Drosophila melanogaster: one gene and its partners. The protein of the gene in region 3 interacts with the protein of the main gene of each other region in a pairwise test. Each region holds a gene or a part of one and is shown on either strand. Other genes may lie near its edges. The genes, in order: Snmp1, CG10469, pip and Zip88E.

What was found.
Region 1: the proteins of pip (region 3) and Snmp1 interact in a two-hybrid assay, tested with the Drosophila melanogaster proteins (one large-scale study listed by BioGRID).
Region 2: the proteins of pip (region 3) and CG10469 interact in a two-hybrid assay, tested with the Drosophila melanogaster proteins (one large-scale study listed by BioGRID).
Region 4: the proteins of pip (region 3) and Zip88E interact in a two-hybrid assay, tested with the Drosophila melanogaster proteins (one large-scale study listed by BioGRID).

The regions. Positions count from the first base shown.
Region 1 is NT_033777.3:21,164,659-21,170,215, reverse strand, and holds Snmp1 (sensory neuron membrane protein 1), read left to right. Parts: upstream 1-2,010; 5' UTR 2,011-2,087; coding exon 2,088-2,198; intron 2,199-2,258; coding exon 2,259-2,416; intron 2,417-2,482; coding exon 2,483-2,630; intron 2,631-3,075; coding exon 3,076-3,330; intron 3,331-3,398; coding exon 3,399-3,905; intron 3,906-3,965; coding exon 3,966-4,144; intron 4,145-4,204; coding exon 4,205-4,502; 3' UTR 4,503-5,049; downstream 5,050-5,557. Other genes in the region: CG5810 (uncharacterized protein), read right to left, coding at 5,140-5,557. UniProt on the Drosophila melanogaster protein: Plays an olfactory role that is not restricted to pheromone sensitivity. Has a role in detection and signal transduction of the fatty-acid-derived male pheromone 11-cis vaccenyl acetate (cVA). Not required for sensitivity to general odorants.
Region 2 is NT_037436.4:6,091,662-6,095,314, reverse strand, and holds CG10469 (uncharacterized protein), read left to right. Parts: upstream 1-2,014; 5' UTR 2,015-2,229; coding exon 2,230-2,465; intron 2,466-2,524; coding exon 2,525-3,092; 3' UTR 3,093-3,127; downstream 3,128-3,653. Other genes in the region: loj (logjam), read right to left, coding at 1-118; CG10467 (uncharacterized protein), read left to right, coding at 920-2,014.
Region 3 is NT_037436.4:19,334,560-19,339,535, forward strand, and holds the start of pip (pipe), read right to left. Parts: upstream 3,051-4,976; 5' UTR 2,872-3,050; coding exon 2,783-2,871; intron 1-2,782. UniProt on the Drosophila melanogaster protein: Sulfotransferase involved in dorsoventral axis patterning in early embryos.
Region 4 is NT_033777.3:15,266,780-15,271,089, forward strand, and holds Zip88E (Zinc/iron regulated transporter-related protein 88E), read left to right. Parts: upstream 1-1,882; 5' UTR 1,883-1,983; coding exon 1,984-2,232; intron 2,233-2,301; coding exon 2,302-2,561; intron 2,562-2,624; coding exon 2,625-2,826; intron 2,827-2,957; coding exon 2,958-3,336; intron 3,337-3,405; coding exon 3,406-3,416; 3' UTR 3,417-3,753; downstream 3,754-4,310. Other genes in the region: CG14864 (uncharacterized protein), read right to left, coding at 1-1,593; Cp190 (centrosomal protein 190kD), read right to left, coding at 4,264-4,310.

The DNA of each region.
Region 1 (5,557 bases), on a different chromosome or scaffold from region 3:
TGAAAAGCGTACTTTGGACACTCATTTGTCGTCTTCAAGTCCAAGAAGTATGTACCCAGACCAGGATTACCTCAATCTTAAGCCCCTTGAGCACTTAGGCATTTTCAAAACTATTTGGGCCAGCAATAATTGGTAGCAAACGAAATTGAGAATTTCCTCTTTCGCCTCCAGTTCGAACATAATCAAATTGTTGGCTACGCTGGCACTTCATTTTCAATTTTAATTTACATTCGCTCAGCAGAAAATCGAAGAAACCTGGTCGAACATACTGAAACTTATGGCAAAGTATCTGTATCTAAACGATCGGCTGCCGTTGTCAAGCGCGCTTCAATTTCCACTCGCGTCTCGCCGCAACTCGCTTTTCTGTGTCATTTTCCACTGGCGAGCTGGAGAGGTTCTGTCTGTCTGTCTGTCTGTCTGTCTTACATATATGTATGTATGTTTCTCGACTCAAGTCAACTCAACGCAACTCGAGTCGATGGCGCAGTCACGTGTTTTGGGTTTTGGCATTGTTTAAGTTGTTTCTCTGTCTGTAGTTTTCTTGTTTGTTTTTTTCATTTTTTTTTTGTTTTGTGCCATTGTTATGCATTATGTTTTGCACTCGGTTTCAGTTTCGATTTCTGTTTGTGTCAACAAACGACCAACTGAAAGGGGCGTTGCCGAGCCCAGTTAGCCGGTCAAGGTGGCAGAGCATCTAACTTAAATGGATTTATTGGCTAATTGAAGAATGCTTTACGCACTACAAATATTCAGATTACAAGGCAACGAAAATATTTCAGATTTGATGGATACTTAGATACTTCATAGATATTGAGACCAGAGTCTGGAAACTGTGTATACAATCATTCACTGTAAAAACAAGGTTTAAGTTGCATGAACATCATTAAAAAAGAGTATTTACTAGATTTACTTATGAAGAAGTATTTTACTCGATGCTTACGCCTAAAATGTATCTTTTAAGGTTTTGACAGTGAAGCCATAATAAAAATGGATACTAGCATTATTTAACGCCTTATGTCTTTACAAAACTCAACTGCTTCTAATTTTAGAATAGGATAACCTTATAGCAAATAAGTTATAAATTACTTTGAAAATTTAAAATAAAATAAATCCAGAAAATACAATTTTCCAAAATATAATAGAAATATTTGCTCTTCTCACTCAAGCTAATATCAAACCTCGCGAGTCTGGCTTACTCTTTCCCTAATTAGCCATCAACACTTGCATTGGTTCTCCTTGAAATTGGAAAACGTAATTGCCGCAATTAGGGAAGAAAAGTTTCCAAGGAAAGGTAACAAGTGCTAATAGTGGAATATAGGCCAGGTGTCGCATAAGTCATTTCGAAATTCAATTACAGAAGTATAGAAATAAGTTCTACAAGTCCAAGTGCATAACGTTTAGGTAGGTGATAGTAGGTTCTTTGGGTAGCTAATGCGTATCTATGGGTTATGTATGGTGTTTGCTAATATCAATTTCAAAACCAAAATGGGTTACACTTTTATAGAAGTGGTTGCAAATTATAGAAAAACTGAGGATATTCCTTTACTTCCCCCTAAAGAAAGGCAATTAAACGATCTTGTTTATATTCCTAGTCCAAACTTGTTGGTACATCAAATGCATTTCAATGCATTTTGGCCCATTTGGGCTATGCGAACAATTAAGTCTGATTGAAATATAGGTGTACGATCAAAACGACTTGATGACGAGGGTCCAGATGAACAAAAGCCAGTTATACCGCATTCGTGCGTCCGACTATGGCCGAAACTGCGTGGAGTGTAGAGCGTAAAGTGGAAACAATTTATAATACTCAAATACATGCAATTATTGATTTTATAAGTAATGCCGTGTTATCTGATTGTTTTGCCATCCGGCCTGCCGCCTCCTCAACCGCAAATGCTGCTGCTATGGCTGAGTGAAAAATATTCGCACGTTCCGTCCGATTTGAGGAGGGGATTCCGGACTTCAGTGTGGAGACGATTCAGTTGCGTCGCGACTGTGAAAGCCTCTGGTCTTCAGCTCGAAGGAGGCAATCGGATTGAAAGGATTTCCGTGCACGAATCGAGTAGAGATCGAAACATTGCCCAGAGATGCAAGTACCTCGGGTTAAGCTGCTCATGGGGTCGGGAGCCATGTTCGTGTTTGCCATCATCTATGGCTGGGTTATCTTTCCCAAAATTCTCAAGTTTATGATATCGAAGGTGGGATCGATGAGGGAGTTATACCCGGCTTAAATCTTATAATAGCTTCCCACCCAATAGCAAGTAACTTTAAAGCCCGGATCGGATGTTCGGGAACTCTGGTCCAATACTCCATTCCCACTGCATTTCTATATCTACGTTTTCAACGTAACCAATCCGGATGAGGTATCCGAAGGAGCTAAGCCACGGCTACAGGAAGTGGGTCCCTTCGTTTTCGAGTGGGTTTCTATATATTGGATTGTGTAGGATAGCAAGTAACTAACACTGTTTCTCCCTGCTTTGAGTGAGTGGAAGGACAAGTATGATTTGGAGGATGATGTCGTAGAGGACACGGTCAGCTTCACCATGAGGAACACGTTCATTTTCAACCCGAAGGAGTCGCTGCCACTTACGGGCGAGGAGGAGATTATTTTGCCGCATCCCATAATGCTGGTAATTATTAAATGGTTTAGTTCATATTTTTTGAAACTATACAAGTTTCCAAACATTTTCGTTAAATCAATCATATTCTTCCATTTCTTCATATAAAATTCAATCCCATACCCTGCTATACCTTACTAAAAATGGTTAGTAAATTTAAAATCAACACTCACTGCATCAGCGACTTTATGGCAAACGTTGGGAATTAGAGATTCTAGTCAGAGCTATGGAAAACTGCACTTAAGGCGCCAGCTAATGACCACGTGGCCCATTGTTAGCCATGTGAATTATGCAAATCGCATTCCCAGCCCCAAAATAGCAGCCACAAAATTAACCCATTAAGAGTGATAGAAATGGATTTCAGAATGGCGTCTTTTGTGTTCTGTAATTCTAAGCTGAATTTAGTCTGCGATTTATTGGCGGCGATTATATGTTTTTCCCTTTCCAATTTTTACAGCCTGGCGGCATTTCGGTTCAAAGGGAAAAGGCTGCCATGATGGAGCTGGTTTCCAAAGGATTAAGCATTGTCTTTCCGGATGCCAAAGCCTTTTTGAAAGCTAAATTTATGGATTTATTTTTCCGCGGCATCAACGTAGATTGCTCCTCGGAAGAATTCTCCGCAAAGGCGCTCTGCACCGTGTTTTACACGGGAGAAATTAAGCAGGCCAAACAAGTCAATCAAACTCACTTTTTGTTCTCGTTTATGGGTCAGGTGAGTTCTTAATACTGCCAATTAATACTACTTAAGTGACTGAAATTTCAATTAACATCGAAAAACAGGCCAATCACTCGGATTCTGGCAGATTCACTGTCTGTCGCGGAGTGAAAAATAACAAAAAGCTTGGAAAGGTAGTGAAATTCGCCGACGAACCGGAGCAAGACATTTGGCCAGATGGCGAGTGCAACACCTTTGTGGGCACTGATTCTACGGTCTTTGCACCGGGCTTGAAAAAGGAGGATGGCCTGTGGGCATTCACGCCGGATTTGTGTAGATCCCTGGGCGCTTATTATCAGCACAAGTCATCCTACCATGGCATGCCATCGATGAGATACACCCTGGATTTGGGGGATATACGTGCCGATGAGAAGCTTCATTGTTTCTGCGAAGATCCCGAAGATCTGGACACGTGTCCGCCCAAGGGCACTATGAATCTGGCGGCCTGTGTTGGTGGTCCATTGATGGCATCAATGCCTCATTTCTATCTGGGCGATCCAAAGCTGGTTGCCGACGTTGATGGTCTCAATCCGAATGAAAAGGATCATGCGGTCTACATAGACTTTGAACTTGTAAGCAAGCAATTTGAGTAATGAATATACATGCATATTATCTATTTCTACTCCCTTCAGATGTCTGGAACACCTTTTCAGGCTGCCAAGCGTTTGCAGTTTAATCTGGACATGGAGCCAGTGGAGGGCATTGAACCCATGAAGAATCTACCCAAGCTGATATTGCCCATGTTTTGGGTGGAGGAGGGCGTGCAGTTGAACAAGACCTACACGAACTTAGTGAAATACACACTATTTCTGTAAGTTGGAATCTACATTGTTAAGAGAAATTATATAACATATTTTAATTATCTTTTTAGGGGCCTAAAAATCAACTCAGTCCTGCGCTGGTCCCTCATTACTTTCTCCCTGGTGGGCCTGATGTTTTCCGCCTATCTTTTCTACCACAAATCCGACAGTTTGGACATAAACAGCATCCTCAAGGATAACAACAAGGTAGACGACGTGGCCAGCACAAAGGAGCCCTTGCCTTCAGCAAATCCAAAGCAATCTTCTACTGTGCACCCTGTTCAGTTGCCCAATACTCTGATTCCCGGCACGAATCCCGCTACCAATCCAGCTACCCATCACAAAATGGAGCATCGGGAGCGCTACTAATACCCCAAATGGCATTCTCCAGCGATCTCTGCACCATAGTCGTAGTCCACTGCACCTGTGTAGTCCAATATGAGCTAATCAACTGAGACAGATCTAAGCACATTCGTCTGGGAAACTGGTCGCTGGCCAATGGAGTGATCGCTAATCGATGACCACTGATCGCAGATGACAAGATCTGTGCGCTCCACTGACACCGATCATCGTGGATTCAGTAATAAAAAATAAAAAAACGCAGAAGTTCAGAAGTTCGAGTTCAGCGATCACAAGAGTCGGTGAATTGACAAATCGTTTTTAAACAATGGCTGCAATGTTTGCAAACCGAAAACAATTGCGGAGACAGGCGGAAAAGTTGAAGTGAAAATATCTCAACTTGTATAGCGTTGATTAATGATTTGTAAACAGTATGCAAAAATTACACTTTTTTAATTAATTTTAATGAAGACGAATTATAAGTACTTGTTCTGTTGGCCCCTTAAAGTGAAGTGTTTGTAGTTGTAAATGTAAAATCAAACAAAGAGGGGGCAAATAAATGGTATTTATTTGGCTTAATTTATGCAGTTTCATTTATATAATATTTTCTCATTAGTATAAATAAGTAGGAATTTTAATACTATTTCCCATTTAATAGATTATTTTTCTATGCCATTCCACATCTCATTGGCCCTCGAGGATCTCCAACTAATCTATCTTCCAAAATGGTTGTGTCCTTAGGCAGTTCGACGAACTCCAACAGATCCGCCAACTGGCCGCAATTGAGTTCCGCTTCCTCGACAAAGAAATCCTCATCCAGATCCTTGATAAAGATCTCCTTTCCCTTCTCGTGACTTATCTCCAAGTAGTTGAGATCCTTCAGATGGGGCAACATGTCCATGTGATTCGAAGTCAAGTTGTCGTAGGTAAAACTCAATCTTTCCAATCCCTTGGCTGAGGTAATTTTGGGTAAATCCGCGAGATTTACAATGTCCGTTACATCCAAGTCAACGAGCTTACTGGCCTTGGACAGAAAGTCAAGTCTATACAGATTGGTATTGGCCAAGTAAAGATGCTCCAGATCC
Region 2 (3,653 bases), about 13 Mb from region 3:
TCTCGTACCATGGTTGTTGGGCCTCCTGAGCGCTGGTTACGTCGATCAAAAGACAACAACAAATCAGAGCAATCGGAAGTACTAGATTTATCTGATCTCTCTGCCACGTCAATTGCATTTTGGGATTTATACTCGTCGGATTAGTGGTGCCTGGGTGGGGATGAACTCAGGGGGATCTAATCTGCCGTTTCCTCTGAGCTCTCTGTCAACAAAAAGGGTTAACTGCACCGGTTAGCTAGCTTTCTATTTGCCAAACTACCCATAAAGTTAAATAAACGAATTCAATAAACAACCGACCTGTTGCTTAGAGGTGGACTATTTGCTGTGTGGTATTTCTAGAGCAGGGCTGCCAGATCTTTGCAACTGCCACCACTGTGTAGCAAAGATGGGCATTTAAACATATATATAAAAAAATGTATATTGTATTCAAGTATGTTAATAAAATTGTTCTATTTAAAAGGCTTAATAAGCAAATATCAAAAAATTTTACCAACAAATTTTTAACTACTAAAACAAGCCCCTGCGAATTTTTACTTACTACGCACATGTAAAAACAGCTGGTCTAAAATAGGTAAGGCAACTCTAAAATTTGAATTGCAACTACGGCGATTAAAAGATAATTTAAGTAAGAATTTTCTGAATTACCGCTAAATTTGGAATACGAACATTGCACAATTCTTAAAGACTCCACAAGGTGTCTATCCCCCTTATCGCAGACTTTCCCACCAATTTGTGATAACTAGATCTGTTTATATATGTACGTACATATGTACATTTTGTTTGCGGCTTTTTTGCGATAATTAAAACAAACACATACGCACATCGAGTGCTGATTAACCTTTACGGCTTGGAGAGGGTCAGATAAAAACGCAGTGCAATTGGCACTCGTAATCATTCCACAGCTGCAGCCGGATCCAAAATGGTCAACGTCACGGAAGACGTCTTCGCCAACGGAGCGGTGAATCCGTTCACCAAGTCAAAGGACACCATCAAGCGGTTCACCCTGACAAATGGAGCTGGAATGTCCGTGCAATTGATCACCCGTGGAGCCACCATTACCAGCATAAAGACGCCTGATGCCAGCGGTCAAATAGATGACGTGACCCTCGGATTTGACGATTTGGCGGGCTATCAGAGCGAGAGAAATCCGTATTTTGGAGCAACCATTGGGCGGGTTTGCAACCGGATTGCCAATGGCAGCTTTTATCTTGATGGAAAGCTAGTTCAGGTGTCTAAGAACCGAGACAACAAGTTTCAGCTCCATGGCGGCTTTGTAGGCTTCGATAAGGCTCACTGGGAAGTTGTGGAAGTGCGTGTGGATGGTGTTACCCTGTCCCACACCAATCCCGATGGACACGAAGGCTATCCCGGCAAGGTGACAGCCACGGCAAGCTTTACCCTCAGCGAGGATAACTGCCTCCATGTCCAGATGAGTGCACTAGCAGATAAAACCACTCCCGTGAATCTCACCAACCACTCCTATTTCAACCTAGCTGGCCACAAATCTGGAGCCAACGGTCTCTACGAGCACACCATCGAGATAAATGCTTATGGAATCACTGAGACGGATCAGTCTTCCATTCCCACCGGCCGTATCACACCCGTAGAGGGAACAGGATTTGATTTACGTGTGTCCAGCAATCTGGGTGAACGCCTCAAGGCGCTGCAGCCAGCTCGCGGCTACGATGACAACTTCTGTGTGACCTTCAGTCCACCACAACCATTGGCCAAGGTGGCCAGAGCCACTCATCCGCCCAGCGGACGCTGGCTGGAGGTGGTCAGCAATCAGCCCGGAGTGCAGTTCTACACCTCCAACTTTATGCCAGACGTGGAACGCGGTGAATCGCCCATTCCCGGCAAGGATGGAGCTGCCTATGCCAAGCATTGTGCCTTCTGCCTGGAGACACAAAAGTTTCCCGACTCCGTGAACCACAGCAACTTTCCCTCGACCATTTTGCGACCTGGCGAAAGTTACCAGCACGAAGTCATCTACAAGTTCGGAGTTTCTCACTGAGTGAGAATCTTATCTTACTTATATATACGTATATGTACCATGTATCCGACTATTCAAGCAACCCGTAATTATTATAACCAATAAACCAAAAGCACGCAGATTATGCAAAGAGGTTCGAACACGCCGCAATCATAAAACCGGGGCAATCAATGAAAACCACGAATACGGGCAATATATAAAGCTGTTCAAGGGTTTGGAGTTGTAAATCAATTGAAATGATTCTCCAGCTGGTGCTTATCGTGCAGTTCTCCCTGGTATTTGGCCAGGAGACTGGCTCCCTGCGAATAATGAATGGCACAGCGGCAAAAGCGAAGCAGTTGCCTTACCAGGTTGGACTACTTTGCTACTTCGAAGGATCCAAGGATGAGCCCAATATGTGCGGGGGCACTATCCTCAGTAATCGTTGGATTATAACCGCAGCCCATTGTCTGCAGGATCCAAAGTCTAATCTGTAAGTAACATACACATACTCCGCCGATTTATATATATCTATATTTCTCACCTACTTAGCTGGAAAGTGCTGATCCACGTGGGAAAGGTGAAATCCTTTGATGATAAAGAAATCGTGGTCAACCGGAGCTACACCATCGTCCACAAGAAGTTCGACCGTAAGACCGTGACAAACGATATAGCCCTGATCAAATTACCCAAGAAGCTTACATTTAACAAGTATATCCAACCCGCCAAGTTGCCCAGTGCCAAGAAAACATACACGGGTCGCAAAGCCATCATTTCGGGTTGGGGTCTGACCACCAAGCAGCTGCCCAGCCAGGTGCTCCAGTACATCAGGGCGCCCATCATCTCGAACAAGGAGTGCGAGAGGCAGTGGAACAAGCAGCTGGGCGGCAAAAGCAAAAAGGTCGTGCACAACGGCTTCATCTGCATCGATTCCAAGAAGGGTCTGCCATGTCGCGGCGACTCCGGAGGTCCGATGGTCTTGGACGATGGCAGCAGAACCCTGGTGGGAATTGTATCCCACGGATTCGATGGCGAGTGCAAGCTAAAACTGCCCGACGTATCCACACGCGTTTCTTCCTACCTCAAGTGGATTAAATACTACTCTGGAGGACTTAAGTAGTTGATGTGGAATCATTAAAAATCGAATCTCTTTTCAAACGTGTGCTTTATTCTTATTACTTCATACAAACTCCCATACACTTTCTCGTTCTCCGTTCCATTTTCATAATATTCTCTTGTGGCTTTGCTAAATTTGTTATCATTTCTTAATGTTGGTTTCGATTTGTATGTTATTTGTGACTTTGCATGTCGTTTAAACAATTTGTTTATGATAATGTTTAGATGTTCTCGTTTTGTGGGCTTGGTTTACGTGTGAGTGTGGTTAATGTTGCTGATTATTTGCAATTCTCCCCCTTGCTTTAATTTACCTTATTTGTTCTCGCTATTTCGTAAATGCAGTTCTCAAAATGTACAAACACATAAATGGAAATGATTCAGTACAATAATGGTGAGTGATATAATTTGGTTCTTTTAACGATTCTTTTAGTATTTTCCCTATATGTACAAAAAGTGTAAACGAAATTGTGGAAAAGCTATACAATTTGTTAGTTAACAAAGCGAATAAGTTGATAAGAACTCGGCTGATTAAATTAGTTTGTTTTCTCTTCGATTCGTTTTGTTT
Region 3 (4,976 bases):
ACATAAAATTTAGCACATATATATGTTTTTGTTAATAATTATTTTTTAATTTGCCACCCGCCGCAGACAGACAGCAATAATTAACTTTCCCGCGGGCCACCGGCAGCGTGTAAAATTCCCAATATGCATCATTTCCATTGCAGAAAGACAGGCAAAATAAAACAAAACGGCATGCAAAACTCGAAAGAAAATGAAGAAAAGAAAAACAAATCACATCACTGAATATAATTACCAAAGAGTAAGTGACTGCATGTCGTGGCGCCCAGAGAAAGAAAGAAACTGGCAAGAAAGAGAAGAATTGCTGAGAAAGGCGCACAGAAGAAAGACTTGAAGACTTGTAGACTCGGCAGCGAAGAGCCAGCTACAGTCTTTTCAAGCGCGGCTTGAGTCTTCGCCCTCTTTCTTTTGGGGCGTTCTAAATAATTTCTGTCACGCTTCGGCTTGCAGTGAAAATAAGAGTGAGTTTTGTTTTTTGTATTAGGTAAACCCTAATCCAAATGGAAAGCAAATCAGAAACGTAATTTATGCTAATTCGAAAGAAATTATTGCATAACTGCACTTCATTCCACTCATTGAGCGTATAATTGTCTTTTTTGACTTTTCAAATCGATTCGAATCGATTCCGACTGATTTTTCTCAACTGGGTGCAACGAACTCATTTTCTACGTATGCTCATTTATCGCGTGTCCGGATAATGAAGCTGCCAAACATCTGTCGCCGAGTTATTTAAGCAAAACCAATTAATTTCATTAATTAATATCAATTTGAGAGCGTACAAAAGAATTGTGCAAATAACGACGTAAGTGTACGCAGCAATATGGCTGGGAATTTATGTATTTATGTTTCTCTGCAGGACAATTCGTATCTGTTGTGATAAATCATATCCATATTCAAATATTTGCACTATTTTGTTGTGCAAATGGCAAGATTACTCGTTTCACTAAGTCGCCTGGCCATCGGAAATGGATAAAAAATAAATGTTTACCTGATTGATTGGCAGACTGACTGAGTGGCCAACTGATTGACTGAGAGTTTGCAGCTGCATGAAATTGTCAAAATGAGCGTAAAATTTATGCTCCAGCCAGCGGTAACCACAGAAAGTATCACACATATCTACATTTAAGCCATGTGTTTAATTAATGCCAGTAATTCATACATTTAATGTAATAATTTGTTCTGCAAATAAACGGGAAATGGGCCTCGCTTCGCGAAAATTAACGAGGGCTTTATAGGAAAAAAGGATATCTAGCAGGGACTCAATAAGTGGGAAAATGTTTAAATAAAATATAAAACATATGTATGTCGTTGATCCAATTTGCCATTAGCTTGAGCTAAGATCTCACAGTTATACGCAAATAGCTGTGAGCCATGACTTCACCACGTTTTGCCTTAATGAAAAGCAAATTCTCACACCCTTTTAAAAAGTCAACAAAAACGGTAAGAAATAGTTTCCCAAAAGCCAATTAGCCCATAACATGTGTAGTCGGTATATCATTAGTTTACATCTCGACGCACTCGTTGCAACAAATTTGGCCATACAAACGGAAAAAAGAGCGAATCTTTCACAATAGCGGACGCAGTGGCTCAGTTCTCTGGCCTAAACACCTTTTAATAGCCAAAATTGTTATGGGCGGCCGCAGAAACCGCCGGCCGTCGACCATCGACCATCGACTAATGAGCGGGCAGTCAAGTTGGGGGGCTCTTAACTTTTATCTGAGCTGACTTGGCCCGAACTGAGCCGAGTTGGGTTCTGTAAAAGGCCAGAACAAACACCGAAAAATGCAGGCCCACACAATGCAGTGGTAGGATGGTGGTAAGACACGGCTCTTTTGGCTACTTGAAATAGTTGAAGTGAGCTCGGCTTTTGTGGTTTTCCTCCTCTTCATCTGCCGCCCCGAGGTGCTACACCAAATGAATTATGAGAAGAATTGAAAATGAAAAACGCAATAAAAAATAGAAACAAGATTGTAGCTTTTAACTGGAGCAGAGATTGAAAAAACGACAGACGCAAGTGCACAGAGAAAAGTTTATGAAACATTTAAAATTAAATGTTGAAGTACAGTGTTTACAAAGCTTTAATACTTGCTTTTAATAAGTCTTCAAAATATAAGAAAACATTTTCAAAGTATAAATAATAAATACAAAAAAAATAAAAGGATAAATAATAGACCCCTTTTTGTATATATAAATTTTTGAAAATATTTTCAATTGATACAGTACTTGGAAGCTCATATCAGCATTCGTAACAATTTTTCATAGCTTAATTAAAAGTACTCAATCAATTTTTTAAAATAAAGTTCTTAAAGCTCGTCGATCTACATAAACCCATCTAAGTCGATGAGATTCATATTAAATTTAAGATCAAAAATATCTATTTCTTCTAGTGTAGCTGCAATTAATTTACTGGCTGGCACTACTTAAAGTCCGTCAAGAATGTTCGAACTGCTCTGGCCAGCAATTGGAGTTTTTATTTAATTTTATTTATCAAATACAACGACCCTGAAACACTATCACTTTTAGCCAGATGCGAAAAACGGAAAGTTAAGCGCTTTTTATGGAGAATCGAGAGCAGAGTATTTTTAATCTTTAGCGCTGCGGCAAACGCAATCTTCGATCTACCAACTCGATTTCGATTCTCTGGCCATTCAATGGCAATTATGACCGGTTTTCAATTTAACTGAAACTGGAACTCAATTGCATTTCCCCTTTGAAACGAACACCGTTCTCGAGTGAAAGAAATCTTTTCTCCGCCGCCTTTTTCTCGGCTGAAGACCACACTTACCGCTTGGGATACGGTATGCGCCGGTATTTGAAGGCATTTTCCACATCGCGCAGTTTCATTTTGTACGATCGCTCGGCGTTCAGAGACATCCAATGTCAATTACACAAAAAACACAATCGCTTGAGATCTTAGTTCTCGAAGACCTTTCTTGGCCGAAAGAATTTTCCGGTCGGCACTTGGGTTCACTTGAGTTCCGATTCACGATTCGAAGACTTAGAGATATAGACGTCCGTAGAGCTCGGCGATCGCGGCTTGACTGAATGTTCCTGGGGGCACTTGGCCGCCTTTTTGGCCAACTTTAAGACGTTGGCAGCGGCGGCTTACCACTGTTTGCTTTTACCATTTTCTTCGACTCTCTTTGGCTCTGTTTATTCGCTCTTTTGATCGCTCTTTGTTCGCTGGCTGACTGATTTCGTGGGGACGTGACTGTAGCCCATTTGTCTGTGGCAACATTTTTATTATTACCCCACATCTGACATTAATCTACTTAGACATATTTATTTAGGTCGTCCAAACAGCGAAGTGTCTTTATTCTCTGCGCAAGGAATCGAATTTCGGGCACTTGTTTCAATATCCTTTATTGGATCAGCTGGTTTACCGACCTTAATGGTAATTTGTTCGGTTGAATAGAACATATTGCGTGTGATCCAAACCACGTTGGCAAAAATAAGAACTTTAGTTTTTTCTATTTCTTCATAGAGGAAGGGAGAATTAGAATTAAAAACAGGTTTACCTTTGAACCCATCCCCCCCAATGGACAGTCGAAAAGTTGACCTTCCCGCTTTTGTAATTTCCATCGATTAGTTTTGGCCATTCGTACATATATAAGCGATTCTTCTCGATGTCTGTCTTCTCGCCTCGTTCGTTAGCCAAACTTCGGGATCTAAGCTTAATTTTTGCCAAACTCAAATCTATAGTTTCTACAAGAGTTGGATTCCGCGATCTCCCCACTTGCTGTCCACAAAGCTAAGCTCATTGACCCTTATTCAACAGTTGACTCTTATGGCACAGTGCCTCAAAGAAATCTTTTTTCCGATTAAATTAGAACATTTAAAAATTAAATTGAGGTACGAATTTTTAATTTACGAGAATTAATACTAGATTTCAATATATTTATACCTTTACTCTTTTATTTAAGTGTGTCTTATCATATATTACTTTAAATTATCTTTTTCAGGTACCTTAACTTTTAACTCTCACTGTAACTGACTTGTCCACTAACTGGCGTCAGACGGCTGTCGAATTTAAGCGTTTACCCATAACTATCTGCATAGGTCCACATTTTTAGGACCGACAAAAAACTGATTGTTTAGTCTTATTAAACTTTTTTTATTTCAGCAACAAGTTGAAAATTCGTGTAAATTTCTCGATAACAATTGCAAAAAAATGGAAAAACGCCAGCCTCAACATAAAAACAGCCAAAACATAAAAGTAAAATTAAAACGAAATGCGTTGGCGGCACATGTCTTGTGTTTATCTGGTAATAATTAAAGGTATTTCAGCATTTGGTACCAAGAAAGTGAGTAGCTAAAAACTTGTAAAGTTGCTGCCTATTGCATTGATGACTGTCCAAATCGACTGAGATAATTGAGCTATCTGAATGATCAGACTCTTTCTCCGATTTCGAAACTTAAAAGCCGACGAGTTGTTAGGCTGTCGGTTTTCGGGTTAAGTTTATCAGCTGTCCAATTGTGGTCGCTCACAATATGTTGGCTATATCTTCGGTCCGATGCCATGGTTTTTTGCTGCCAACTGTCCCTTTGTGGCTGTGCCGATTGCGCTGAGCTGGCCAACTCGATTGTAAACAACTGCAATTGGCCCTAGGTGCAAACACAAATAGCTGATTGTGTGAGTTTGTGGCAGGTGTGCGTATATATTATATTTGGCCAATACTCGGCAGTGTATTTTATGCAGCGAGGTTTTCCATGTTAATTGGTTGGCATGTTTAATACATCCGCTTAAATATATAAAAGAAATTTAAAATCGTATTCGGTAAATAAATTTATTATTTACACAAATTCTAAATTAATATATTATATGTATATGTTATATGTAAGTGCGTACGATAAATAAATAATTTCATCAATTTGCATTAATCTAGAGTGAATACTTTTAGTAGATATATGTATTATATGTATATTAATGACCACGGCATAAAAAGAACTGCAAAATTATTAACTTTAATAGCCAGATA
Region 4 (4,310 bases), on a different chromosome or scaffold from region 3:
CGCAACCTTGTGCTGGATTGTCTGCTGCAGAAGGCTGTGCTGCTCCAGCAGATTCTCCAGCTCCTTGATGCGAGATCTCTGCAGTTCCAGAACCTTGGTGAAGTTACTCGTGGCCGGGGACTCAAGCCAGTTGATTAGAAAACTATTATGTTGCTCTTTATTATCGTTGGCGTTTTGTTGAGCATCAAAATTACTCTTCGTCTTGCTATCTAGTGTACTCGCATCCTGCCCTGGGTTGGGGCTGCAATCATTCAAAGGACTCTCCTCCAGGACCAGAACATTGGTCTCGTTCGAGGATCGACAAACTCTGTAATTGGGCTTGTCGATTTCCGGGAACACAGCTCGCTCATCATTTTCGGTCAGATCGGACTCTTGAACGCAAATCTCTGGAGGCGGCGCCATGGGACGTTGCTTCGCCGGAGAGCAGCACCCATCTTCATAGTCATTATTCCGGGTGCCGTTCATAAGCAGCACGTTGATTGCATTTGAAGTTCTTCTCTCGCCGCCGCCACAAGTAAAGTTATTCGAATTATTGGTGTATCCGCCAGATAAACCTGTCGCTGAGCTTCCAGTTTGATGGCTGAACGAGCCGGTCATCTTGGTTCGCCTAACAGGCGAAGAGCTCTGAGTCTGCAGCGTCACCGTTGAGCACTGCACTTCCTGATCCTTCAATTGCTGGGTGATGCACGTCTGGCAGCATTCGCTCTTCAGCTCCGGCTTTTTCTTCGTATTCTGCTGGTTCATCGAACTTTTAATTTTGTTGTTACCTCGTGAAGTTGGCGATACCGGGTAGTTCGGGCTACTGCGGAAATCATCTGCTACAGTTTTTATGTCCGTTGTCCTGAAAGCTGGACAAGTGAGACGTTCACAGGAACTCTGTTTTTTTGGGCTGCCTTTGGAATTATCCTTTCTTTCTTTATACTCTTTATTTATACTTTGTTGGCTGCCTGAATCCTCTTCTAGAGGGGCTACCGCTTTTTTGATCCCTTGCACTGGACAGAAACTACAGGTGCATCCATCACAGGTGCAGTTTACAGCTCCAAAGGTCGGTTTATTTACCCTTGGGCTTAATTTCATAGGTGGATTATTTTTGTTCTCTAAGTTTGTGGCCCTTGTTTGTGGATTGGGATACTTCTGTCCCATTTGGGTGTATGTATTGCCCTGGAACATGCTGTTGCAGGTGTTTCGAAAACGACAGCAACCATTCGTACATCTGTTCGCGCTGCTGAATTCCTGCCTCTCCGAGCCGAGACTCTGTTTGCTTTGGTTCTGGATCCGCTCGTTAGTCTTTTTGCTGATGGAATAGCCATGGCCAGCGTCCGATGCCGAAGAGCTCCACCTGCTCCATTCCTGCAGGCCAGCTTGAGTCCTTGCCCTGCCAGCAGCACGAGACGAGCTCTCCGATTCCGAACCTGATCCGTGGCCATCCAAATGGGAGGCGCAAACGCATCCGTGCCGGCATAGCGATTCGGGGTCGACGTCAAAACTGCTGAGGTTGGCCAAGTTCTGCCACCGGCGAGCCTCCGACATGTTGCGCGGGTAGACGCACTGCTCGCCCGGCTCCTGGCCACAGATTATACAACGACGATGCATTTTCCAACGGACAACCAGGACGGAAACGGTAAAATTTTGAATTTTAACTACAGGAGCATTTGTCGAAGTGCAAAACTATAATTGGAGAGGGTGCCTACCTTCTTTTATTGAAATTCTTAATGGTGGTGGTTGGTAAAAGAATAGTTCTAGATTTAAATGTTTAAATAAAATTAAAAAAAAAAAAAACCGTTTAAATGAGTGTGATCTGAAAGGCGCACTGCTGAAATGCCTTACTTTTCTGTGGCCCCCCCATTGTAAGGCGTTTTGGTATTTCGCACGAAAGCAGCTGCACACACTTCGCAACTGTTTAGTTTAAAAATAGTAAATGCAACGAACTTTTGTGTGTTTTACTGGCCCCCTTCTTGATGACACAGTCTGGCAGTTGATACAATGAGCTTGCCAACCGACGGTCTAAACATGGAGATCACCCCAAGCCCCACCCTGGCTGCCACGAGTCGCGGCGACTTGGAAAAAGTGCTGGCTATGCTGGTCCTCGGACTCGGGAGTCTTTTGTTCGGATTGCTGCCCGCCTTTATATCGGAACGGAATCGTCGCCGCTTCCCGCTGACCGCATCCCTGCTCCTGTGCTTCGGAGCGGGCATTCTGCTAGCCACCGCACTGGTGCACATTCTGCCCGAGGTAAGAGCTTGGACTGCGATCGTGTGTGTGGCTGCAATTTGATAACCTGCTGACTTACGCATGCAACAGGTGCGCGAACAAATGGACTCGAAATTCGCTGAGGTTGCCATGTGCGGCGGGTTCTTCATCATCTACTTTATCGACGAGTTCATACACTACTTCTTTGGCGAGGCCATTCAGCACACTCATGCCCACGATGCAGAGACTCCAGCAACCGAGCCACCAAGACGTCCCACTAATGACAATGGTTATGGCGCAGTGGACGAACGAGCGCCCCTTTTATCAGCGGAACCCAATACGTCACATGGGCATTCGCACCATCATAGCCAGTAGGTTTATTGCATTTCCCTTCCCGCAGCCAAAACTAATTGCTTTGTGCTTCGATTACGCAGCGATCATGACCACAATCACCCGGCCAGCGCATCTGGCTGTAATGATGCCAGTGTAGAGGACGCCAACGCCCGCATCTGCCACACCAGCCACACGGAACCCTGCGCCCAATCCATGACAGGCACTCTGGGTCTCTTTGTCGCCCTGTCACTGCACTCGGCCATCGAAGGACTCGCCATCGGCGTTCAGAACTCTTCCACAAAGGTCTGTGCCGCCTGCCTTGACATAGTTAGACTAGATCGGCTATAGTGCGCAATCTTAGGCAAATATTGAAGCAAAGAGATGCGAGGGCTTAGTCCAATTAGATAACCGGAATCTGCTTTGTCTCGTCGTAGGTTCTGTTTCTTCTAGGGGCCGTCGCCTGCCACAAGTTCGTGATGGGCTTTTGTCTGGGGCTCGAGTTCCGCTCGAATCCGCAGACGAGTTTTCGCGCCCAGTTCGTCGGCATTTCGGTGTTTGCCCTGGGCGCCGTCATTGGCATTGGCCTGGGCATGCTTATCGTGGACGTGCCCGCCGCTTGGTCCAGCAAAACTCTGCCTATCGTCCAAGCTCTGGCCGGAGGCACACTCTTCTACGTCACCGTCTGCGAGGTGATACCGCGCGAGAAGGCGCGCTGGCACTCGAACTCAACGCGACGCTGGGCGGGATTTGCACAGTTTGCAACTGTGCTCGCCGGCTTTGCGACCATGTGCATCATAAACTTTTATCTTTCTGGTGCGTAGCATTATGTGATTTGCATTTCCCTTTCGACATTGCTGACCTATTTTCTTCGCGCCTTTTCAGATGAGGATTAGACATCTTTTCGTTGAGAAATCGTTTCAGCGCTGTGAGAAAATGTGCCGCTTTTTAAACTTAGAACACTTAGGATAATATTATGGATTGGCAGCTGTTAATCTCTTGTGTAAGACTTGTTACTTGTGCATTTCCAACTAATCTTGTTTTAGGTACATTGTCGATCTGCCGTAGGATAAGTAAAAAGTTCAGTCTTCTCGTCTACATTTATATTTTCTCTTTCTCCAAAGTTTGTGTTATTTTTTATGCTTTTATTATATGTAATAAACCTTACAATTAAGTTGTTAATCAAAAAAAGGGCATCCTCTTTTCCTTTTGATTAATCTTACTTAGCCAACCATTAAACGCAATCATTTTATTACTTTCTGGGGACATCATGTCACTGTTTTAAACGAATTAAAACAACATCTATGTAACTACATCTCTATATGTATGTAAATAGGCATATGTGTATATATATATATAGTGTTTACCTAATCGTGAAATGTTGCTTGGTTGCTCTATTGGTGGTGTATGTGTGAAGAAACGGACACTCATAAATAGCTAAATGTTGGGTTGTTTGGTCTCTGATCTCTCATTTAAGGTCATTTGGGGAACTCCTCTTAGATTTACGATTTTCATGCTAGCAGGGCAACATACTTGGGATGGGAGGGGATTTACAATTACGTGAGATGAGTAGATTAGATCTTATACACTTAAACCAGTGCATATGCATATCTTATCATTCACCTTGATCTTCATTAACAATTTAATTTACAATAGAAACCGAAAATTCGCGCCGAGCTCAGGTGCGTTTATCTGCTGACCTGCGTTGAATCGCCAAACTTAGAACATAAATAAATCTAGTAATTATAGCTCCTCCTTCGCCGCCGCACTAACCCCATTCTCATCCTCGT